Notamacropus eugenii: one gene and its partners. The protein of the gene in region 1 purifies or fractionates together with the protein of each later gene. This does not show direct contact. Links are inferred from orthologs where the notes say so. Each region holds a gene or a part of one and is shown on either strand. Other genes may lie near its edges.

Region 1 (7,743 bases):
CTGAATTGAATGTAGTTTTTCAGCTGAACAGGGGACCTCTTTTTCAAAGTACCATTTGCTACAAGACTTGCTCTTAAAAGTAGTAAAAGTGATCTGAATGGGGAAATTATCAAGATGACATTTCTAAAAAGCATTCCTGTTTTATTTCTATGCCACCTAGCCCTAATCAATCAAGATTACAAAAAAATAATAAACTATAGAGTAAGTTCTTTGAGGGGAATACAAATTCCTAACATCTATACAGTACTTTGCATATATTATTTAATGTGATCCTTAGCAACAATACTGTGAAGTAGGTAGTATTATTGTCCATATTACAAACAGATAAACTGAAGCTAAGGGGTGGGGTAAGTTGAGTGACCTGCCCTGGGTCTAAGACAGGAAGTGAACTCAGGTCTTCCAATCTATCCAGGGCAGTAGTGACTGGTCTTTTACATTTTTACTTTTATATCTCCTATGTCTAGCAATATAGCTCATGTAACTGGCATTCCATATTTTATTTCATAAACAAAATCAATAAAAGTATTACTGTTAGATTTAAATAAACTAAACTGATCTAAAACCTCTAGTTTTAATTTTTAGAGTATCTTAAATTATTTCCTCCTCTAGTAAAATGCTGCTCTGATACCTAATCTTGGCATGGAAGTAATGCTGGGTTTTCAAGGGCTACGCCAGGGAAGGCAAGCTCTGGCAAGCGAAGTTTCAAGTAACAGGCCTATCGAGGAACTTCGAGTTGTACAAGAGTTTTTCTAATTAATTTCATAGAGGTTGGAGGCTCATTACCAGAAAGCTGATTGATCACTAGATTTTTGTGGTCTCAGCAAACTTAGGACGACTTTTAAAGAATGAAGGAATTGTATTCTATTTTGATAGAAGGAGCACATCACAAATCTTTTGAAGTCAAGTTACTCATTATGACTAAATGTGGAACTGACCAGGGGTAGTTGGTTAAATAAAAAAAAATGCCATGTATTAATTTGTCACAAGAAACTTGTTCTCAACAGTAAAGAAAAATGAAACTGAATAGGCTAAAAAAACTTTGCAAGATTAATTCAAATTTCTTAACTAGTTAATCACAGGAGGACCCCAACCTCATGATTAAGATAAATTTATTTTATTTTCCACACCCACTTACTCAACATGTTTTCCAGAACTAATTGTTTTCCTTCAAAAGGTTAAACTTATCTTACCAATGTACAAGTTCCTAGTTCTACCATTTTAATATTTGACTAGGAACTCCTTCAGAATATTGCTTTAAAATTTTATTATCATAAAAATTCACGAGCCTTTCGATTTTTGTATTTCAATCAGACATCTTAAGCCAGTTCAAGAATCTAAATTTCAAATAGAAAGCTAGGTATTAATAAAACCATCACTAACAGAGGCACAAAGTCAAAACCCAAATATAGATCTCAAAAAAACTCACTAAGCTAGCAGTAATTAATTATTGGAGAGTATTATTAAGCAACAAAAACATTCAAACACAACACTGGAAAATGTATTCATTTGTTGCAGAAATTTCATGAGGCTAATAGCATTTTTCAGGAGTCCTGACCAACTCTAAATTGCACAAGCAATACTGTGATACACAATTTTGTTCAGATTACACTGGAATATTTGTTTCTTGGGGGGGGGGAGTTGAGGGGGAAAATAAATCGCATAAGGCAAGTCTTGTCTTCCCATAAACCCAGCAACACTACAAACTGTAATGAAATGATATGCCTTGAGTCACAGGGATCAATTTTTTCCTCAGGAAGCTTGTTCTACTGCATCCCATTGGGCTAAAATCAGTTTTCTGGACATCTTACTGTGTTCAAAATAAATTCACTCTCATCTTCTTTACCACAAGTACATTAAGAGTTTACCGAAAGAACAGCAAAAACCAAGGCTTCCTTGAAGCAAAAACTACTTAAGTACAGGAACTGAGACTACAAAAACCCTGTATATAAAATTTTAGACCACCTAATAGATCAATCACCTTCACTGCAGTCTGCTAACCCTAAAACATTATCAACCTTAACGACAGTTATATTTTTAAAGTACTCACCTAGCTCTCAATAAGCTACTTCGATTTAGGAAATGGAGTTATTATAAATCACCAGAAACACACTTTAAAAGAAAAATAATTTTCTACCTAACCTACAAGGGAGGGCGGAAGGCAGGCATTCTGATTCAGAGGTTCATCTCATGAACTTTAAGTTCTGCCTAAATCCAAACTGGGTTTTTGAATTGAGCAAAAGGGTGGAGCCCACTTTTTCCCTTTGGGTTGGGTAAATCAATCCCTCGCTTCCAAAAAAAAAAAAAAAAAAAGAGGGCAGGACCCCGGAGCACAAACTAACACCATCCCAGGCACAAGAAGTGGGAGAGGCTGGCGGCCTCTCCCACCCAGCCCTCGGGGAAGGCAGTGAGAACAGTGTCCGGGCGGGGGAGGAGGAGGGGCTCAAGAGAACCCCCCCAACTTGAGGACGGGATCCTTAGAGGCCGAGCCTAACCCCAAGGGCCCAGGCCCCACCGGGAGTCCGACCCCGGGACGGTCCACAGCCGCCCCACCCCGGGGTATCTCCAACGCTGGCCCGGCCCAAGCGATCCAGCCGCCACCCTACAGGAAGCCCCTCCGCGGGCGGCCGGACACCCCGACCTCGGGCTCGCGAAGCGGGGCGCCCGCCGTTCCGCCCCACCCCGGACACCCGGCGGACCCCGCCCCCGCACGCCCCCCAGGGTACCCCCCCACCCCCCGGCGGAGGTCGAGCCCGCGCCCCCCGAGAGCAGGAAGCCGCGCGGGAGGACGAGGGGAAGGCTGCGGGCGGGGGTGGGGGGAAGGGGACTTACCCGTCTCCTACCACCACACACTTGATGGCCTGCATCGGGGCGGCTCGCGGGGCTGCCGCGGAGGCGGCGGCGGCGGAGGTGGAGGCGGCGGCTGCCGGGGCTGCCCGGGAGCAGAAGGGGAGGACCGCCGGGCTCCGGGCGGGATGGGCTCCTGACAAGGCGGGGGAAGGCCCCGGGAGCGGCGGTACGTGGAGAGAGGGGGGACGGGGACCGCAGTCCACGCCGCCTCGCCCCTTAGCCGACTAGAAGGCGATCTCAGGCAGCAGCCACCACCCAAAGCTGGAGGAAAACTGCAGAGAAACAGGAAATGGCCGCTCCACTCACATCCGGCCTCCCCTCCCCCTGCTCCTTCCCCGCCGTCGCGGCCGCCGCCGCGGCCGCTCCCTTCGCCCTCCCCATCTGGGCGGGGCCAGCCCCTCTCTACTTTCCTTCTCCCTCTCGCTTCCGCTCTTTCCGGCCCGAGCCCCGCCTCCAATTCCAGGTCCCGTTTCGGAAATGCTCGGAAACGCTCGCCTCCCGCGCGACTGGAGATTCGCGCGCGGCCTCGTCCCGGCGCGGGCGGGGGCGCGCGGCTGACGGGAGGAGGTTGGGGGTGGGGAAAGGGAGAAGACGGGCCGCCATGTTTGTGCTACTGACCTAGTCAGAACTTGTTCCCCGGCAGGACCGCGGGACTGGAGGGAAAAAAGGACCGCTTGCGCCCGCGCCCCTGATTCCCGTAGACCTCGGGTCTTCCCTGCTTGTTTTTTTGTTTTGCCTTTTCTCGTTTCCCCCTTTTCCCGCGGGTCAGAGTTTTGGGAATGAGAGGGCGGAGGCCGAGCGAGCTGAGGTTGGATTACTGCCGTACCCTCCTTTAGGCGCGGGAGCAGGTATTTCTGACAGAGAGTTAGGGGCTGTAGCTTTGGGGTGAGCGGCCTGATTCCACCCCGACTGCCAGAAAGTTACTTAACAAACCCCCCCGGCCTCAGTTTCCTCATCTGTAAAAGCAGGTTGAGCCGGGCGGGCCCCAGGGCTCGGTCCTAGAAGCGGGCTCCGTGACTGGGGGACAAGCGGGTACAATGGGTAGGTAACAGGCCGAGGAACGTGGAAGGCAGCGCGCTTCCCGGGACTGCCGGGGCCGGCGAGCGGGGAGGCTGAGAGACGGGCACCATGCCGGGTACAGGGTCACTGGTAACGGACTGGGAAGAGGCGCCGTGCTGGCACCCCGGCCATCCCGCCCTGGGGGGGAGTTGGATTGGAATTATCTCCCGCCTCCAAACTCGTGGCTGCCCAGTCAAACTTGTGGGAGCTTACCTGCCGGCGGCGCCCCCCTCCCCCCACTTCCTCCCAATGGGATGGATCCCCTGCTGGGATCGGACTTTAACGTGCCTAGAGGTACTCCTCAAACACTGGAACTTCCCAGCCCCTCCGTGCCACCTCAGCTGGGCACGGAGGTGGGGATACCCTCGAGTGCTCCGCCTGCGTGGTTATCCGATAATGATCTTCTAAGTTATTCTTTATTTCCCTCTGGCTTATCTAAACCTGTTCCTTGGCTTCACTGTGACTTCTAATCCCTTCCAGGGGTGGGGACCACCCCTAGATCCTTGGGGGAGACCTTTTGACTGAGTCCCAGTTGTAGAGAACAAATTTAATTTATTTGATTTGATTTATTTTATTAAGGGGATGTGTTCTGTGAAGTTTGGATTCAGTCAAAGGGCTGAACTTGAGGTTCCCCACCCCAGATTTAAACCATTCCTTTGCCCCTTTATCTTATCACTGTTTCCTACATGGCCAAGACCCAGCTTGGGATCAGTTCTATTGTCTGCTACTTGTACTTACTCAAGTGTTGGCAAACAAAGCTGGAGAAAATCACAACTGTGCTGACTGGGTGTACTGCAGATTTGTGTGACTTAATCTCAAATGGTCCTCCGCTGAGTGAGATATCCCCTTTACACCTTCCTGATCACTGCTGCTAGGCACTCTTACTTTACCTTCCTTATCAATTCACTATCTCACTCCCCACTGTTACTCTTCCAAACCTTTCCATCTCTTGTCAAACCTCCATGGCCCCCTCTGCCCCCACTCTCTCAGCTTTGAAACTTTCTTTATATTTTACAGAAAAAATTGAGGCCCTTAAACATGAGCTCCCTCTTTTCCCCTCTCCCTCATCTCTTTTCCATTGGGTACCTTCTTCCTCTCTCTCCTCCTTCATTTCTGTCCCACATTTAAGGCTTTAGTCCTTACCAAGGCTAACCCCTCTACTTGTTCAAGTGATCCCATTCCATTCTGTCTCTTCCAATAGATTTCCCCTCTATCATCCCTGCCCCATCACTTATTTTCAGCCTCTGTCTACTGGCTCATTCCCTACTGTCTACAAATATTCCTGTGTCTCTCCTGGCCTGAAAAGGATCCAGTTGATCCTTCCATCTCTGCTAACTTTCATCCTATATCTCTTCTGCCCTTTGTAGCCAAATTCCTCATAAAGTCCATCTATAATAGGTGTGTCCACTTTCTGTCTTCTCACTCCCTTCTTAACACCTTATAATCTAGCTTCTGGCCTCATTATTCCTCTGAAACTGCTCACTACAAAATTGTCAGTGATCTCTTAATTGCTAAATCCAAAGTCCTCTTCTCAACCTCATTCTCCTTGACCTCTCTGCAGCCTTTGACACTATTAATCACCCTTTACTCCTTGAGTATATACTCTGTTTTACGTAGGTTTTCTCTCTCTTGGTTCTCCTCCTACCTGTCAGATCACTCCTTTGTCTTATTTGCTGGCTTCTCATCCAGATCAAGCCTTCAAACTGTAGGTATCCCTCAGGGTTCTGTCCTGGGCCCTCTTCTTTTCTCCCTCTATACTTTTTCACTTGGTGATGTCAATTAACTGTCATGGAATAATTACCAAATCTATGCTGATGATTTGCAAATCTACCCATCCTGCCCCAGTGTCTGCTGACTACCAGTCTCACATCTCCAGATATCTCTCAGACATCTTAAACTTGATGTCCAGTAGATATCTTAAACACATATCCAAAACAGAACTTACTATCTTTCTCCCTAAAACCTCACCTGCTGCTACCTTCCCTATTACTCAAGAGGACAACACTATTCTCCCAGTTCCTCAGGTTCAAAACCTAGGGCAACCTAGGTGTCATCCTTAATTCCTCACTATCTTTTATACAACTCCCCCCATGCCATTTTTAATCTGTTGCCAAGACCTGTTGATTTCACCTTTGCAACATCTCTTGTATATATATTCTTCTTTCCTCTGATACTGCCCCCACTTTAGTTCAGGTCTCATTATCTCATGTGTGGTCTACTGGAATAGCCTGCTAGTGAGTTTACCTTCCTTAAGTCTCTTCTTACTGCAATCCATCCTCCTCTATTCAACCACCAAAATGATTCTCCTAAAGCACAGGTCCGATTATGTTACTCCCTTCCTCCACTCAACAAAATCCGATGGCTCCCTTATTGCCTCCATGACCAAGTATAAAATGCTCTGTTTGGCATTCAAAGTCCTTTATAACCTAGTTTCATATACCTTATTCCCCAACATGTACTTGTCAATACAGTGACACTGGCCTTCTGACTCTTCCACAAACAAGACACCTCCAGCTCCAGGCATTTTCTTTGGCTGTCTTCCATGCCTCCTCCACTTCTGCCTACTGATTTCTCTGGCTTCCTTTAAGTCCCAGTTAAAATCTCATCGTTTACAGAAAGCCTTTCCCAACCTCTCTTAATTTTAATGCCTTCTCTTTTTTAATTATTTCCTGTTGGTCCTTTATGAAGCTTGTTTGTATAAGTTTGCATATTGTCTTCTTAATTAAATTGTGAGGACAGAAACTGACTTTTGCCTCTTTTTTCATCCCCAGTACATACATCCCCTTATGTACTGGCACATAGTAGGTACTTAATAAATATTGCTTGCTTGCTTAATGAGAGAAGACCCTTAAGCAAGATGAAATGTAAATTTGGGCAATAGCTAGTAGCCTGGTTTGGTAGGAAATTAAGGATATGAAAGAGAATAGTATAGAATAAGGCTGAAAAGGTAGATGAGAGCCAGATTGTGAAGGAATTTAAATGCTGAGAAGTTCTTATTTTATTCTAGAAACAAAAATCAGGAGCTGTTGAAGATTTTTTTGAGCAGGGGAATGATACAGACAGACTTATGTTTTGGGAATGTTAATTTGTCCACAAATGCTATGGTGAATGCATTGGAGAGAGGAAAGGCTAGAAGAAGGAATACTGGTTAGGAAGTCATTGCAGTAGTAGTATAAGACAAGTAATGAGAGCCCAAACCTGGACCGTGGCTGTGAATAGAAAGAAAGGGATGTATGTAAGAGATATTGTAGAGGTAGAATCCACACAACTGCAAAAGGCATGGAAGCTAACTGGGCTCATTGATTTTTTGTGTTTGTTTTTTCATCATTCTCTTTTTATCCAATAAAGCTACCATTCTAATTAAAAGAATTTGGAAAAAAAAATCAGGGCAGCTATACTGCACAGTGGATAGAGTGCTGGGTCTACAGTCAGGAAGATTCATCTTCCTGAGTTCAAATCTGGCCTCAGACAACTTACTAGCTATATGACTCTGGGCAAGTTGCTTAACCCTGTTTCAGATTCTTCATCTGCAAAATGAGCTGGAGAAAGAAATGACAAGCTACTCCAATATCTCTTCCATGAACATTTCTAATGGAGTCAGGATGAATCAGACACAACTGAAGAACAACTGAACAGCAACAAGATAGTTTCTGAAACAAAATGAACCAGGTATTAAGCAGTCTCTCTACTGGGTGATAGAGTTAGCAAGAGTGAAACAATCTACTTGCAATGAACTTTTGTTCTTTTTCAAAAATTCAGTTTTATTTTATTTTAAGTTCCAAATTCTCTCCCTCACTCCTCCTCTTCCTTAGTCGTTTAGGAAACAAGAACAAATAG
Region 2 (8,317 bases), about 260 Mb from region 1:
CAAATAAGGGAGAAAAACTTAATAAAGTTTATCTTTATCCTCCTCTTTAAAATAATTTGAGATAAGTGGGTTTACGTTCTCTTCAATTTATTCAGAATTTAGCAGTTTTAATTTTCAGATTATTGCAAATTGCTTTTTTTTTTAATATTCCATACTCTGCTCTACCAGCAAAATCTTTAAAAGCTTCCAGTTACTACTTCCCTTTTGCCCTCATGCCAAGGGAATTAAGTTCAATATGCTCATTTTCCTCACATGTACAGAATAAAATGTTCCCCTTTTAAAATATGCTATTCATAAACACAAAGAGTTACAGAAATCTCACTCCTCCCAACTCCGATCCTCATGTAACAAGTCCTGGATGACTTGAAATGGTTTTATTTTAATCAGGTTTGCAGTCACAGGATTTTGCAGGGCAGTGGCTTTAGATTCTACTATCTTGAGCCAAGAGGTCTCCTTGGCCTTCTTGGTCCCAGAAAAGTAAGCCCTTTGCCAAGTAACAGTAATATGCACAATTACTCAATCCAAATGGGTCCTAACGATGCAGTCTTCTGACCACATTTGCTTAAAATGTGGTTAAAGTTTGCAATAATAGTAATAAACAATGCCGACTGTTGATAAAAGTTTTGACAGCTCACTGGTTTTTAACTAATGTTCTGCATGTATATGCGGAAGGATTCATTTTGGTCCATGAGATTCAGGAGCAGATTTATGTAAGAAATCATAAATGAAAGTACCGATTACAAAGTAGCTGGTTCCCCAGTGCGATGGACTCCAGGCTGTTGAGATTTTTGCACACTTACTGTGTGATTAAAAACTTAGAGCTTGGCATTTCACTGGAACACTCACTCCTTCCTGGTTCACAGCATTTTCACCCATTCTAGTATTTTCAAGAAAAACATTTATTTTAATTCAGGATCCTGTCAACTTTGTGTTTGTATTCCACATGCCTATAGGTATTTACAGTAGCGTCCTAAGAGTACCAATGTTCAAGTAGTTCTTCAAGGCATCAGAGTGGATGCAGACAGCCTTGCCTTAGCTAGAAGCAGCCTGCCTATGCAGTTCTCTGTAGTTAGGATGCCTGGCTACAAGTAGACTTCAGTGGAAGTTAAGGGGTTAGGGTTAGGCTGAAATCACCTGGCAAAGAGAAGGGGAAAATTCATTTTCTGCCTTTTCCATGAGCTTTCAGCGGATTACTCCTATCAGTCCCAGAGGTGGCAATATAATATAATTGATACCTGGGCTCCCAGTGCCCTCATCCATCAGTGCGACCCTGAGGGGGTCCTGCCTGAAGGACCTGTTCAGGTCACTTTCCCTCCAGCCCAGCCCAGCCCTTACCTTGACCACATCGTCATTGAGATGCTTGGGGTCTCGGTTGACCAGGTCGATCTCCTTGGTGTGCGCATCGTACATTTGCTTCTCGTTCATTTCGTCGGTCATGGTCTTATTGTTGGGTTTGTAGATGTTTCCCTGCTCCCGGATGGGCGCCGAATAGAGAAGCCCCTAGGGAGGAGGGGTGGGGGTGGTGGTGATGGTAGGGACGGGGAGGGGGGGGGGGGGGGTTGGAAATAAAAAAAAAAAGCAGAACAAGCGGACAAAAGTCAACCGGAGGTTGGGAAAGCTCTCAAGCTTAAGGAAGAGAGAAGGGTGATTCTTATTCTTTGGAAAGGCGGCGGCTGCAGCTGCGGCAAGTACTGCGACTTGCTCAGAGCAAAGTCAACTTCACGGGGAGACTGGCTTTTTAAAAGGATAGAAAAGACGACACCACACCCCTCGGTACCAGGCGGAGAAGCCCGACTCCCGCTCCTGCCGCCAGGGGTCATCTGCAAACGCAGCCCAAACGTCCGGCTCCCAAATCTCTCCTACTGCCCCCCCCTTTTACTCCCTCGCCTTCCCTGTATTCAGCGCCCCGTGTTTGGCCCAGAGAGCTCCGGCAGCCTTGGGCTCAACCCTGGTCCTGGCCCCACTTTAGGGCGCCTCACCTTACCGGGATTTCCTTACCTGCTTCGGTCGCCTCCCCCCAGTCTCTGACACCTGTAGCTTCCTCCCCTAACCCTGGATTTCTCCGATAGAGCGATGGGTCACTCACTGCTCATCGTCCCAAACCCCAGCCCCCATTAAACCGTGCACCTGCGGCCCCTCCTCTAGCATCCCACCTTAGCGCTCTCTGGACTGCTCTCAGGTAGCCCTAAAGCTTAGAGATATCTATTGCGGCCCACCCCCTCTCACCCCATTCACCCCAAGAGGTTACTCCCACCCTCACCTCCTAGAATTCACAGAATCTCAAGATCGAGCCCACCTCCCCACATCTCACCCGTCTCCCCTAAATTCCAATCGCATCTCCCCCGATTTAGCAGCAGCGTACCCCCTCCCCCTTCCGCTAACTCTGATAGGCGCCGCGGCCACTGACTTGGGGGAAAAAATTGTTCTGCATAAATGTGGGTCTGGGTTCTGGGGGGAGGATGAGCTGGGAGAAATCTCCCCTTTGCAAACTCCATTCCTAAGGAGTTTTTAGAGAGGGATCAAGGACTTGGGGGAGAGCAAACAGAGCGCGCGCCAACGCCCCAGTTAAGCTTTTCCAGACGCCAGGGTCTGGGTTCGGGTAGTGCTTGCCCAGAACTGCTGGATGAGGAAGCTACAGCCCCCGCAGCCCCTCCCGTCCCCCCGCGTTCCCAGACACTCCAGCCTCCCGCCCCAGCGCTATCAGCCGGGCAGCTGGTAAAAGGCGGGGGGGTGTAAGAGAGAAAACAAATAACGAAAAACCTCCAAGGAGGTGGATCTCTGTTCTGGCAGACGTAAAGTCGGGGAGCCCCCAAGGTTATCCCGTCCACCTCTTCCACCCCCCCCCCCTCCAGCAATTTGCTCGGTGATTTCCCTAAGAAAGCCAACCACAAACGGAGCAGATAGCCAGTTTGGGCGCTGCCCTCCCCCCAGCCCCGATTCCTCCCCGAAACTCCCCGGACCGACGCCCGCTCCTTAGCAGTGACTGTCGGAGGTCAAGAGGGAGAGCGGTAAAGAAAGGCAGTGGGAGCGCTCCCAGCAGCGGTTGGAGATGGCCGCGGCCGGCGGGCGCTCCCAGGGAGGGACATACGGCCGCAGGGCACCTCGTGCCCGGGGTGGGGGTGGGGGTTTGGGGCTTTGAGAAACTCCCCGAAGACGAAGCAAATCCTACCTCGGAGTCTATGTATTTGCCACTAGACATTCTGCCTTGGGTTTGACGGAGGGAGGTTCTGGTGGAGATTTCCCTGGGTTATAATTTAAGGGAGCTGAGGAAGGAAGATCCTGTATTATGGGAAGGGAAAAAAAAAGGAAAGAAAAAACATCTCGGTGGGGGTTGGGGGTGGGGTAGGTTAGGGAGGGGAGGTAGCTGCGAGTGAGAGAGCTGGCGGCGGGCCAGGGGTTTGTTCGGCTTGCTTTTGGCCAGGATGACAGCGGTGCTGGGTCTAGGCACATCCCCAATGACTCCGGGAGCAGCCGGGAGGGCCCGAGGAGGGAGGGGGGAGTAGGAGCGAGCGAGCTTTTTATCCATGTTTTACCGAGGCATTTATTTTAAACCTGGGGCAACATTTTCCCAGCCGTGTAGCCACCAAGGCGATCCAAGAGAGCCTGCTTGAAAAACAAGAATATTTTCCTGGTGCATCACACCAGCAGGAGGGTGTGAAGTGGAACAAGTTTAGTGAGGGATTCCCAAGAGGGAAGGGCACCTCCGGCAGAGGCAGAAGGCTTTAAGCGTGTCCTTGACCACTTCTGAGGGGCGAAATGCAAGGTCCTACCCCCACCCCACCCCTTTATCTCTCCTCCCCCAGGAAAAAGCGTTGTTCAGCAGCTTGGAAGGGGAAAGGTGATGAAAAAGGGGTGGAAAATTTTAGTTACATCTCCTAAACTGAAGCAAAAAGTCGGGGTGTTAGAGTGTGTATGCTTTCGGTGACCCTCGTTTACATATGTTTAGCCTCGTCTGGAAACTTGGTACCTTTGTACCACTTTGTAGAGCGAACCTATATATGTCCCCCCTGGCTCATTTCAAAGTGATGCAAATGTTGAACTGTTCTTTACTTTTATTGCTGATTTTCTCTAAATGAAGGGGAAAACACGCCACAGGTTATGCTATGTTTGTACGATATATTACAGTATTAGTCGTAACTAAAATAATATTAAAATAAAACCTGCGACTTTATTGCTGGGCTAGAGTTTGGATGGAGGGATGGTTACGATTTAGGATAGGGACTGGACTCGTGATTTTACTAGTTTAGGGAATTTTCTGTTGAGAAAAGCAGCCCCACACCTTTTTATGGTCTAAGACAGAGACCTAGGGCATTTAGAGGGTAAATGGCTTGCCCAGGAGTCATACAACCAGGAAGAGTCAGAGACTGTTCACTACTTATCAAATAAAATACATTTCCCTTCTATCATCTATCTATGTATCTATCTATGTATCTATCTATGTATCTATCTATCTATCTATCTATCTATCTATCTATCTGTCATCTATCTAATCTATCATCTCCCTAATTTATTAAGAGAAGGATACTTTACTGTTTTATAAGAAATGAAATAATGATGTCATCCAAATTGGGCTATTTTTTTCTTAAGACCTTTAGGACCCTTAAGCAATAAATAGAACTCAGCTGCAAAAACTAGAAAGAAATGCGTGCTTACATATTTAAACCCAGTTTAGCGAAAGTAAGAGTGATATATTTAACTGAAAGAAAAAATTCCATTGGATACTACCTAGAGAAAGGTACATGCAATTCAGTTCAGTGCAATATTATAAAATGACTACATGTCCTAAGTGCATAGAATGCTGAATTTGAAGTCAAAAGACCTGAATTCAAATCATGCTGCTAATACTGTGTGACTCGGGGCAAGTTATTTAACCTTTTATTGACTAAGACAACTTTTCCAGTTTTTAGATGGGTTGTCCTGGTGATTGAACTTCACTGATGAAACCACGTCATTGAGAGTGTGTGCTCAGCATCCAAGTTAGGTGCTATGGGAAGTTATAAAAGAAATAGCACTTATAGAATATAGAATATATAATCCATATACTGCCCTCTGGTAGATTATCATCTATTTGGAAAGAAGAGGATACTACTATACATGTAATAATCAGGGAATAATACAAGATGATATGGAATGCAAATAGCAAACCCCATGATAAAGTAATGTAAGAGAAGGGAACTGGACAAAGGGAATTCCTTCCATCACTAATCCCCAACACCCAGCACAGAGTGAATGTAATTACTAAATAGTAATTGTTTCTCTTTTACCCAGGAACCCTGAAGGTCTTCCCCTCCCAGTTTGATTTTTTTTTTTTATTAAAGGGGCCATCCCTTGAGTAACTACTTAAAGAAGCCTATTCATTGAATGGGTGTATCTCACTCAAAGTGAGAATGTGATAAGATCTTAGCCTGAAAGGACCAGGGTCTCACTTTGCTTGCTTGGCGTCCTCCAGTCATCCTGATGAATATCAGGCCACTGGACCCAGATGGTTCAGGAGAAGAAAGTGAAGTTGGTGACCTTGTACAGCCCTCCCTCATTCAAATCAAAGTCAACTGCAAGTCATGTCCTCATCTTGATGTCATGGTCCTCTTTGAGAACTAAGGACAAACACAACAACAACAAAAACAACTACATCAGGAAAATAAGAGGTCAGAGGGGTCTAGGATATTAGGAAAGGTTTCATGGAGAATGTTATTAGGAGGAGGTGTTACTTGAGTGAGGCTGCATAATCTCTTAAATGATTCTGATTTCTCTAAATCCTAGGCTTTATTAATTTTACCCTTGTACCTTGTATCTTTTCCTGCATGGCCAAATTGTCTATTTCTCACAAACGTGTATAAGCTGCTGTAAAAGAATCATATCTAGTTCATGTAAATGTGTCACATAATATTTAGCATAAACAACATAAATGTGTAATGTTATCTATTTATTATAGTATTTCCTAAATTAATATCAGTACTAATAGCAGAACTAATAGTTCCTTCGAACACATTTTTTTGTAAAATAATGTTCAATGGAAAAAATGTTGAAACCATTTTCCATCTATTGTTCCCCAAACTTCAGCTGTGATGAGTAATCTTGGTTATAAAAAGTCAACAGGAACATGAAATGAGCCTGTTCCTGCATTCCAACAGAGGAACTCTGCTTTCTGGGAGGGCCTCTTAGTGAATGTTTAAGTAATACAAAATTGAAGAATAATAATCTGACTGGGGAAGCCCATGCAAAACAGTCATAAATAGCCAAGCCATGAAATCATGATAATGATCAGTGAAGCACTGTCAATGCCAAGTGAATTACAAATGAGCAGAAAAAAAATATTGAACTCTGATTAGCATGCCCCAACAAGAAGAAGTTGAAGGTGTGTATAAATTGCAGAAGACAAACCCTACTTTCCTTATAATCAAAAACTTTGCTAAATAATTCCACCCTTTTAAGGGAAAAGAGGCTGTGATAAAGAATGCTTATGACTGGAGAGCATGACCGTGTTTGATGAATTATTAAAGTTACAGAGCTGGAATGATTCTTCTTTCTTGAAAACCCACAAGGATAACTTTAGGTATCTTTTGATTACTGAATAATGAATAGATGGCAGCTGATTTGTAAAGGAGATCCAACTTTGTTTTCAATAAGCAGTAGCACCATAGATCATAGATCACAGGATTTTAGAGTTGAAAGGTACTTCCCACATCATCTATTCCTACCCACTCATATAGATGAGGAAACTGAGGCCCTGAGGTTAATATTTCATTCTCTGTGAATGCAAATGGGCACTTTCTTTTCAATTTATGATCTTAGAGAATTGTCTGAAGCTCCAAGAGGGACACAAGGTCACAATCAATGTCAGGGACAGAATTTGAACTGAGATTTTTCTGACTTTGAGGTCACTGTGCCATGTTGCCACTATTACAATTTTTTAAAAATGTACATCAATAAATGACTATAAAAGAGGTGAACAATTTTGAGTACATATGCTAAATGTAGTTATGGAGATTATTTTTAAGTAATGGAGCCTGCCTGATTTAGGTGAAGTTGTTTGGTAGTTCTAATCTTTGGTATCCCACCAAGCCTTTTATCCACCCAAACTTTCTCTTCCATATCTTACCCTACATATTCAGCATTACTTTCTTGTCCTAAGTTGGGATCAAGTAAAATTTGCCAAAATGTTATCCGAAAATGAAACTGTTAGTTGAGAGCTTAAAGCATGACTACTCCCAGAAATATTTGCATTTTAAAGGAGATAATAAATTGGGGGAGGGTTTCAGGGAAGTCTGACTTGGGCCTACTATACTACTTCACTGATCAAAAGTCAGAGGCTCAGAAAGTATTTCCCTGAGGAATCCCCTATTTACAGGGCTACTTAGCACCATGGAGGCTTCTTTATCACAGGATTGGCTCCCATTGTCTACATCCTCAGTTCACAAAGGAGAAGTGCCAACCCCTATCTTCCTCTCCCCGGCTTGCTTCACACATTCTCAGCCAATTCTCTAAGGGAGTAGATACAAAATTGGAAATAAAAGCTTTGGCACACCAGCTCTGAAAGTTTGTTGGATTACAAAATAATAATGCATTTACATAATGATTTAAGGTCTTCAAAACACTTTCTTCACAACAGTAGACACTGACAGTAGCATTAACCTCATTTGAAAGCTGAAGAACCTGTGGCTCTGAGGAGTGAGATGATTTAGGAAAGGGAAATTGGCATAGGGGGACGGAGTATTGGCTTTGTCATTAGAAAAACTTGGGTTCAAATCCTCTGATACAAGATTTATGAGCATGATGGAGTCATTTAAACTCCGTGAGCCTCGGATGTATATCCAGTAAAATAAGGGGGTAGGAATAGATAGCCTCTTAAAGATCTTCTGGCCCTAAGCCTATGATGATGTCCAGGATTGTATGAGTTACCCACAGTTCAATACCTAGTGAATGAACATTTGAAATGGCATCCAGACCCCAGGTACTGAGTACAGGTTTAGCCTTCCCCTCACTCTGCTGTGCTGACTCTTTGAAGACAGGTAAAATCCATTTCTGGGATAAATTCCAGGACTACATCAGAATTAAACTATCCTCTGAACTTCTTAAAGGGAAGACCACTCAAAATAGCTGTGTAGGAAATGGAACAGGCCCAAACAAATAGGCTTGATGAGGGGAGGTGTTCATAATAATCAAGATCCAGAATTCTCAAAGTGAATAGACTAGTTGGAGTTGTCAGACTGGCTCCTCATGTCTCTTTTATCTTCAAGAAATCAACTTTAGCTAATATGTTCTCGTTAAAAATTCAGCTTTCTGAAGTTTCTCACCTATTTCTAGTGTTTCCAGTTTT
Region 3 (8,328 bases), on another chromosome or scaffold:
AGAAGGCAGCCTTCAGGTCCCCTAAGTCTCATCTTCAGTCCTGTCCTATTCACTGAGGGATGCCAGGGAATTCTCTGAAATGGCCCGAGAACTGAGCAAAAACCATGACCACTGTGTATCACCCCAACATCACTATGTCTCTAGCCTATGTTTTTTTCTCCCTTTTTATCTCCTGGGAGAAAGAAACAGGTGTTGCTGTGATATCAACCCAAATAATTTAGCTGGGATTGGGCTAGAGGGAGTAGGATGAAGGATAGGCATATTTGTGATGACACCTTGAAAATTCCACTGACCCCATGGCCATCCCTTGCCCACTGCCCACTCACAATTTGGTTTCCCCATTCCCACTTAACATCACCCTGCCCACCTCCGCTCATTCCTTAGTCTCCCTCTACCCACTTCCCTTTATCTCTTGGCCTCCTCCTGCCTACCTCTACTTACCGTTTGGCCTCCTCCAGGCGGCAGAGATATTGATAGGCAACATTCTGCCGCCTCTGTTCATCCATCTCCTCTGCAGTGAGGCGTTCATCTGGAAGGGGGAAGGTATGACACAGTCAGCGGCAGATCAAAAGAGCACTAGGATGCCTGATTCCTATCCTTCACCATCTTCCTCAGATGTAATCCCTCCCCTGCCTGAAAACCTCAAAAAGTTCCTGCTTGACACTCACCCACCCAGTTCCAATTCCCTAGACTAGAGTCCTCTCAGATTAGTTTATATTCCCTGTTCAGATGGGAAAAAACTACTTTGTCCAGGCCCAATATTCTTTACCCCCTTAGACTTCAGAGGCCATTTCTCTTTGTCCTTCTCTCACTTTTCCAATTATTTTTGTTTCATTTTCTACTTTTTCCAGTTTCCTCCTTTAGGAAACCTTCTCAGACGTTTCCTTCCAACCCATCACTCTCTTCCTGCCTACCTCCTTACCTGTCACTCTCTTCCCATCCCTCCTCCACCCTCCAGGAGGGATGGCTGGAGCTCTGGTCACTTGAATCCTTAGCTCCCCTTAACTAAGAGTTCCCCAAGAACTGGCTCTTTCTTCAAATGTCAGATCAAGGAGATAAATGATATTTGCTTTTGCTAAAGCTAGATGACTACCCATTGGGTATATATCTGCTAGACTTAGATTAAATGCCCTCTAAGATTACATCTCAATTCAATTAAACAACCATTAATCAAATGTGTTATATCTTCAGGACACAATGACCTGGCACTAGAGCTAGAGAATTTTTTTTAAAAAATCCACATTTATTAGGCATCTTTTATGTGCCAGGCATTGTGCTAGGGATAGAAAGCCAAAAAAATGAAAGTTTTTGCCCTCAAGGAGTTTCTATCCTAGAGGAGGCAGACAACTTATTCACATATATACACGAAATTATATACAAATAAATACAAGGTAACTTTGCTGGAAGAATCCGGAAAGGCTTCATGTAGGGAGTGGCACCTGGCTGAGATTTTGAAAGAAACAAGGGATGCTAAGGGTCAGAGGTGAGGAAGGGGAGCATTAGATCCATTGGGGACAACCTGTAAAAAGGCACAAAGAAAGAAGGTGGAGGAACATGCTTGACCAGTTTAGCTGGACTGGAGTGTGTGAAGGGGAATGATGTATGTAGCCAGGTTGTGAATATGTGTCGCTTCAAATGCCAAACACAGAAGTTTGTATTTGATCTTAGAGGGAATAGGGAGACCCTGGAGTTGATTGAGGAGGGGAGGAACAGGCTCAGATCTGTCATTTAGGAATACCCCTTGAAAAAACTGTGGAGAAAAATCAAGGAGACAACTGAGTTCAGGGAAGGCTTCATGCAGGAGGTGAGCACCCAAGCTGAATACAGAGAAAGATTTTGATAGAGATGAAGTAGGAGTGCATTTTATTTGGCACAGGGAGTGTATTATATTTGAACTCTAAGACTGTCTGATTTTACAAATTCAAGATCCAAGCAATCTTCAAAAAAAAAATCCCCCAATAATCAAAATAGAAAATCATTCACCAAATCTTCACTGACAAAAACCATATTTCTCAAGGCCCCTTTGGATCCCAACCCACCACTCCCCTAGTCCTCATCCCACTATTCTGAAGATCTACTCTAGGAGACACAATTAAGACCCTGCCCCACCCACAAGCTCCCACCCAAAAGATTCCAAAGAATAACGAGCTCAAGAGTGAACTAAAAGTAGATAACAGAGTTCAGTTGATTTATTTTTGACCCAGCACTTAATTTCTATGGTTAATTATTTTTAGCTGACTGTCAAATTTCTCTTCGAGGAATTTAATTTGAATTGGCAGTCAAATGAGGTTTTTAAAAATATACTCTCAGGACCATATTCCAAATGACAGTCCAATGGCAAGAAACCCATCAGTTACTCCAAGGGAGGAACAAAAAAGAAAAAGGTTGGCAGTTAAGCCTGGAAAGTAAGCTGGTAAATGACTTCACTCCAGAGGTATGAATTGAAAACTGGGCAGGACTCTGTGTGGGTGTGTGTGCACAAATGGCACTCTTTCTTCCAGACTTCCTAAAGTCTAAAGCCACCCTCACAAGCTTCCTTCTACAGATTCATGGACTTTACTTTTTGGAGCCCCCCCAAAATAAACACATTTGTTGGAGGAAAGAGAGGGGAGCAAGGGGAGGGGTTTTCTTTCCACCCAGGAGGCCAGACCGAAACCCCAGAATCCTCAGGAGACAGGGAACTATAAAGATCTCCACCTTAAGAGTCCAGAAACCTGGGTTCAGTCCTGTCTCAGGTCTGGCACAACCTGCGACTCCTGTTCAAACCTCAGTTTCCATATCTGTAAAATGCTTGTACAGAGCACATTTTATAAACTTTAAGGCACTAAATGTTATCATTCCCCCAGTCACTACGTAAGCTGTTGTCTAATTTTAATTGATGGACTAGATTTGAGGACCTCTGACCCCCCTCCGCCCGAAAGGATGCCCTAGTTCTCAGCAGCCCGGCCCAGCGGGAGGCTCCCACGTCCCCTCAGACTAAGCCCTGCTGTTTTCCTCCAGCCCTGTTTTCCAGGTGGGTTAGTGACCGGTCCAAAGCCACCCAGCCGGTAAACGGCGGAGTCGGGGACTCCAAGTCACTGTATCTACCCCATAGATAGGGCTCGAACCCCGGTCTCCGGGGCGCTCTAGCATAGCACGAGGGCCCTTAGCGCAGGGCCTGGCATACAGTAGGCGTTTAATAAATGCTCGTTGACTTTCCAGGGTTGCCAACCCCACACGGCTCTAGACCCCAGCCAGCCCCGTCCCTTCTCGACCCTAACCCTCGGTCCGTCACTCACAGGCCGCCCCGCCGGGCCTTGCTCTGCTCGCCTCCATGCTCCTCGCCCTCCTGCTCCAGCTCCAGCTCCTGCTCCTGCTCCCGTTCCCAGGTTTGAATCTCCCGCCGCCACCGCCCCTTCCAGTTGCAACAGTTCGGCAGGATACTTCCGGCCCGCGCCGCGGGGCCTGCTGGGATTTGTAGTTCCCAGTCACGTCGGCCTCTCCCACAAGGAGAAGAGACACCTTCAAACTCCAGCCCCGGGGGACCGCGGTTGTCTTGCTGGCCACTTTCCTTCCCCTCCTCTTTGTACCTCTTGCCATTCCCTTCCTCCCATTGTCTCCAGCCCCCTCCTCACTATAGACTCCTAGTCCCTGCACCTCCTTGCTTTTGCCTCCCCAGCCCTTCTCCCCTTAAGGTAACCCCAGCCCTCACGCAGTGCCCCCCAGCTCCCTGCTTCCCTTCTGCATCACCCCAGGCCCCCTCTTCATCACAGGCCTCCTGCCCCCATCTCCAAGTGTCTGCTGCCTGAGGAGCCAGCTGATTTCAGAGAAGGGGGGGTCACCAGATGGGCTCTACCTTGGGCAAGTCACTCTTCAGGCCTCAGTTTCCTCAACTGTTAAGTGAAGAGTTTGGACTAGATAACTACAAAGGTCCATTCCAGTGATCAGTATGAAGGGACACAGAGGAAAGCCAGGAGAACCAGGAAGACCATATACACAATAGCTACAATAATTTAAACCAAAAAAGATAATTAAGTGAGGTCGTTAGAATGCTCAGTCTTGACTTCGATGGTGAAGGAATGCACCATCCTCTTTTCATTGGAAATTTAGGGGACCATCAATCGATCATAAATACCTCCGAGAAGCAGCATAATAAAAAGTCGGAGAGCCCTCCTCCGGCCAGAAAGACCTGAGTTCAAGTCTCATCACTGACATATATTTCCAGCTCTGACTGGGACTTTTCAGGTAAGGCAACTTACTAAGAGCTATAAATGACAAAGTATAGGACCTTCTTTGTAGGAGTTTCCTATGTTTGTGAAAGCCCAGATTCGGAGCCTATCTTTATCCCTAAGTGCCAGGCGCTGTGTAGTTTACATTCTACTATCAGCTTCGGGGAGTAGAGGCCAGGGAAGGAAATTTCTGTACTAGGAAGATGGAGTATTGTGAGTATTGCCTCAGGGCAGTTAGTTTGTCTGGTCTTTTCCAAGAGCATAATAATAATGGGTGTGGAATTCACTAGTTCCTCTTTGTCAAGGATTCCTAGCTTTCCTTGACAAGAGAAGTTTTCCTTTGGGGGTGGGAGAAATTGGGAAAAAGCAAAAGGGCATTCATAAAATTATTTAAGTAATTTTTTTAGCCACAGAAATTCTATAAGACCATCTCCTAAGTCAAGGAAGAATTGGATTGGTGGGCTTTAGTTGGAGGGATTACCCACACCCGCAAAGTCACAAGTCCCTGCAATATTCAGCTGTGACTATGAATACCCATTGACATAGGGCTCCTTTATAGCTCACTAACCACTTTCGACCAAAAGGCCCCACCTGGAAACTCTAAACTGCTATTTCCACGAGAAAGAAACCGAGGCCAGGAGAAAAGACAATAGAATCAAAGTAGGGCTGGAGAGGTAAGAAGGGAGGAACTACAATTTTAATGAGAATTCAGGTATCCCATGACTTTGCAAAAAGCTCCACCTCAAAGGATCAGAACTCAGATAGGATACCTAAACTGTCAATCAAGGAATCTCTTAGGAGGGGAGGGTGTTAGTAGGTTGTCACAGTGACCAACCCCACCCTCCTCCCCCCAACCCCCGCCCCAGGCTTCGAGCAGAGGTAACCTAAGTCTTCAAAGCCATCTTACAGAGGCGGCAGCACCAAGGCAAATGCAGCCAGAGGTAGGGAAATACCTGCTGTGTGAAGGGGCTACAGGATGACCTAGGGATGGGCACAGTTCGGTCATTTGAGGCAGGAGGCTGGATGACCATGTTCCTAAGCCCACCCATCACAGAGGCAAGAAATTGTGTGTGTGTGTGTGTGTGTGTGTGTGAATAGAATACCCTGGTTCCCTCTTCAGATCTTTCTCATAGGAAGGAGAAATGGAAAGGAACTGGGAGTCACAATTGTGTAACTGAATTCTCTTTGCCTCATTTTTCATCTTTTGAATCTAGGTAAGGTGAAATAAGTGGTTTTGAGATCCTCAGAGAGAGGTGCTAAGGAAATATATGATTATGATGTATTCTTTACTTGGGTTCTTGGGTATACTTGGCAGCTAGGTGGCACAGTGGGGGCCTGGAGTCAAGAAAACTCATCTTTGTGAGTTCAGATCTGGCCTCAGACACTTACTAGCTGTGTGACCCTGGGCAAGTCTCTTAAACCTTGTTGCCTCAGTTTCTTCATCTGTAAAATGAACTGGAGAAGGAAATGGCAAACCACTGCAGTATCTTTGCCAAGAAAATGCCTAAAGGGGTCACGAAGAGTCAGACACGAAAAATGACTGAACAATAATTGGGTTCCAGGGTGTAAGGTAAGCTGAAAGTAGTGTGAACAGAAGCTGAATAGAATGGAAAGAATCAGAGCACCTGGGTTTAGATCCCAGTAATGTGTAATGAGGGGAATCCTTTATAGAGACAGAGGCATGGTTAATGTGACCCTTACCTTGAAGTACCTTGTGGTTCTAAGATTATTGGATAAAGTCCTGGGGGGCCAGGATGGTAAGGCAAGTTTAGCTCTTTGTACCTAGCTAATCTTGGGAAATTTCTTTCACTTTTCTGTGTCTCATTTTTCTCATCTATAAATTTAGGGGATTGAATGAGATCATCTTTAAGGTTCCTTCCAGATCTACTATTTCTTGGCTGTTACAGACCAGGAGAGACCTAAAGGACAGAGATTGTATTGAAAAAAACAAAGAGAAAGGGGAAGGAAAAGTAGCATTTGGGGATCTGAAGGGAGATTCTTCTTCAGGAAAAAGGGGGCTTCAGCATCGTTGGTCTCCATGTTTTGGCTGATACTACAGCAGGAAAGATAATGATTAGCCTTTAGACAGTATGGGGAGTAGTGGGGTGGGGAAGGTAGGGAGGAATGTTATATTGGTCCTTCTGTTTTTGAAGAGGATCATGACATCAGGGAAATGATGACATGACTTGCAGCTGACTTTGATTTGAGTGTGGGAGCACTGTGCAAAATCACCAACCTCACTTTCTCCTCCAGAGCCATCTGTGTCCAGTGGCCAGATATTTATTCATCAGGAAGACTTGAGATGGCCCAGGATGCAGTGGGAGACCCTGGCCCTTTATAGGGTAAGGTCTTTTCAGGTTCTTACTTTGAGTGAGGTGATGCCCATTCAATGAATAGGCCTCTGTAAGAAGTGAATCAAGGGATGACCCCTTTAATTAAAAAAAAAGAAAGAAAGAAAGAAAGAACTGTGAGGGGAAGATCCTCTGGATTGCTGATCAAAAGAGGAACAGTTACATTGCTGTTTACTCTGAGCCAAGGGGGCCCAAAGCTTGGGCAGGGAGCTATTGTGGTCTAATCTGTGAGTTCCTGAGTGAAATGGGTTTAAGGTTTGGTCTTTGAAAAGAGAGAGAGAGAGAGAGAGAGAGAGAGAGAGAGAGAGAGAGAGAGAGAGAGAGAGGAGGGAGAGGTAGAGAGGGAGGGGAAGATGATGATCTGAGTTACCCAACTAGCTGGGTTCCCATTCGGGGAGCTCAGTCCTCCCTCATTCAAATCAAAGTCAACTGCAAGTCATGTCATCATTCTCCTGATGTTATGGTCCTCTGAAAACACAGCCTGGAGGAATGACTAGAGATTAAGAAACTAAGGTTAATTATGGAGGAGAGGGTCCATCAAGGAGACTAGCCTAGATAACTGGAGACAAGAGGAAAAGAAGAGAATAGGCAATTACATAGCACATAAGATGTGCCAAGAACTATGTTAAGCACTTTACAAATATCTCATCTAATCTTCACAACAACCCTGGAAAGTAGGAGGTAGGTACTATTATCATCCCCATTACAGTTGAGGAAACTGAGGCAAACAGTGCTACAGTGACTTGCTCAGGGTTACACAGGTAGTAAGTATCTAAAGCTGGATTTGAACTGAGTTCTTCCTGACTCATGCAGACCCAATGCTCTATCCACTGAGCCACCTAGTTGCCTAAAGTTTCATCTAGCTTTAGATTCTGTCATCTAATAATAACAAAAGTTCAAACTTCTATGATGTTTGGAAGTTGACAAAGACCTCTACTCAAAGCAAGCCATTTTACAGGTTGGGGAAGAAATATAAGACTTTAAAAGGTTAAGTAAATTCCCAGCTAATTAGTTTTGAAGCTGGAATTTGAACCTGACTTCTGACTTCAAGACCACTATACTTTCCACCCTTTATACCACTACTCTCTGGGCTCTCCCTACCAGATAAACAATTAGAGACAAGTTGCAACTGCAGTTGGGGAGGACATTTTAGATCATGGGAGGGTCATAACTGGCCAGGGACAGAACTGAGCTTAAGGGATCCTTCTTTGAAAGTAATTGTGGTTGTTTAACCAACTCCTTTTGCTATCTTGTCAGTTCTATGCCTTCTCCTGCCTCTGAGGACAACTCCCTGGGACCAGGGACTGAAGCATGGCCAGCCAAGAAGAAGAAGAAAAAGAAGAAGCATCTGGAAGCCAGTATCCAGACCCTCACCCAAGCTGGGCATGGGGCTCTGAGGGATGGCCGAAATGATGAAGCCCTAGCTAGTTTTCATCGAGCCTTTCTTTTGGCCTTGGAGGCCCAGGGAGACAGGGGCACCAGGGTCCTCCGTGCCTGCGCCTTCAATCTTGGAGCAGCCTATGTGGAGACTGGAGACCCTGCACGTGGTCTCCAGATATTTCTCTGGGCTAAGCCAGAGGAAAAGACCAAGGGCGCTTGCCATGGTGACCAGTGCTTCAATGTAGCCTTGGCCTACCATGCCTTGGGTGATTTGTCTCAAGCCTTGGCATGGTACCATAAGGCCTTGGGCCACTATCAGCCCCAAGGAGACCAAGGGGGAACCCAGGAGAAGATGGCAGCCTGCTACCAGGCTCTGGGGCACCCAGGGC

What was found. Proteins that work in one complex are often made in the same cells at the same time.
Region 2: the proteins of RAC1 (region 1) and CAV1 purify together in Homo sapiens (affinity purification with western blotting; 4 studies listed by BioGRID and IntAct, with this or other methods). This does not show direct contact. The link is inferred for Notamacropus eugenii from reciprocal best matches to the Homo sapiens genes RAC1 and CAV1.
Region 3: the proteins of RAC1 (region 1) and IQGAP3 purify together in Homo sapiens (affinity purification with mass spectrometry; 3 studies listed by BioGRID and IntAct, with this or other methods). This does not show direct contact. The link is inferred for Notamacropus eugenii from reciprocal best matches to the Homo sapiens genes RAC1 and IQGAP3.

Annotation. Positions count from the first base shown.
Region 1 is NC_092874.1:396,154,064-396,161,806, reverse strand, and holds the start of RAC1 (ras-related C3 botulinum toxin substrate 1), read right to left. Parts: upstream 3,173-7,743; 5' UTR 2,865-3,172; coding exon 2,830-2,864; intron 1-2,829. UniProt on the Homo sapiens protein: Plasma membrane-associated small GTPase which cycles between active GTP-bound and inactive GDP-bound states.
Region 2 is NC_092874.1:136,584,302-136,592,618, forward strand, and holds the start of CAV1 (caveolin-1), read right to left. Parts: upstream 3,469-8,317; 5' UTR 3,200-3,468; coding exon 3,170-3,199; intron 2,516-3,169; exon of another isoform or gene 2,432-2,515; coding exon of another isoform or gene 2,408-2,431; intron 1,501-2,407; coding exon 1,336-1,500; intron 1-1,335. UniProt on the Homo sapiens protein: May act as a scaffolding protein within caveolar membranes. Forms a stable heterooligomeric complex with CAV2 that targets to lipid rafts and drives caveolae formation. Mediates the recruitment of CAVIN proteins (CAVIN1/2/3/4) to the caveolae.
Region 3 is NC_092873.1:380,719,904-380,728,231, forward strand, and holds the start of IQGAP3 (ras GTPase-activating-like protein IQGAP3), read right to left. Parts: upstream 3,469-8,328; 5' UTR 3,316-3,468; coding exon 3,279-3,315; intron 530-3,278; coding exon 442-529; intron 1-441. Other genes in the region: TTC24 (tetratricopeptide repeat protein 24), read left to right, coding at 7,821-8,328.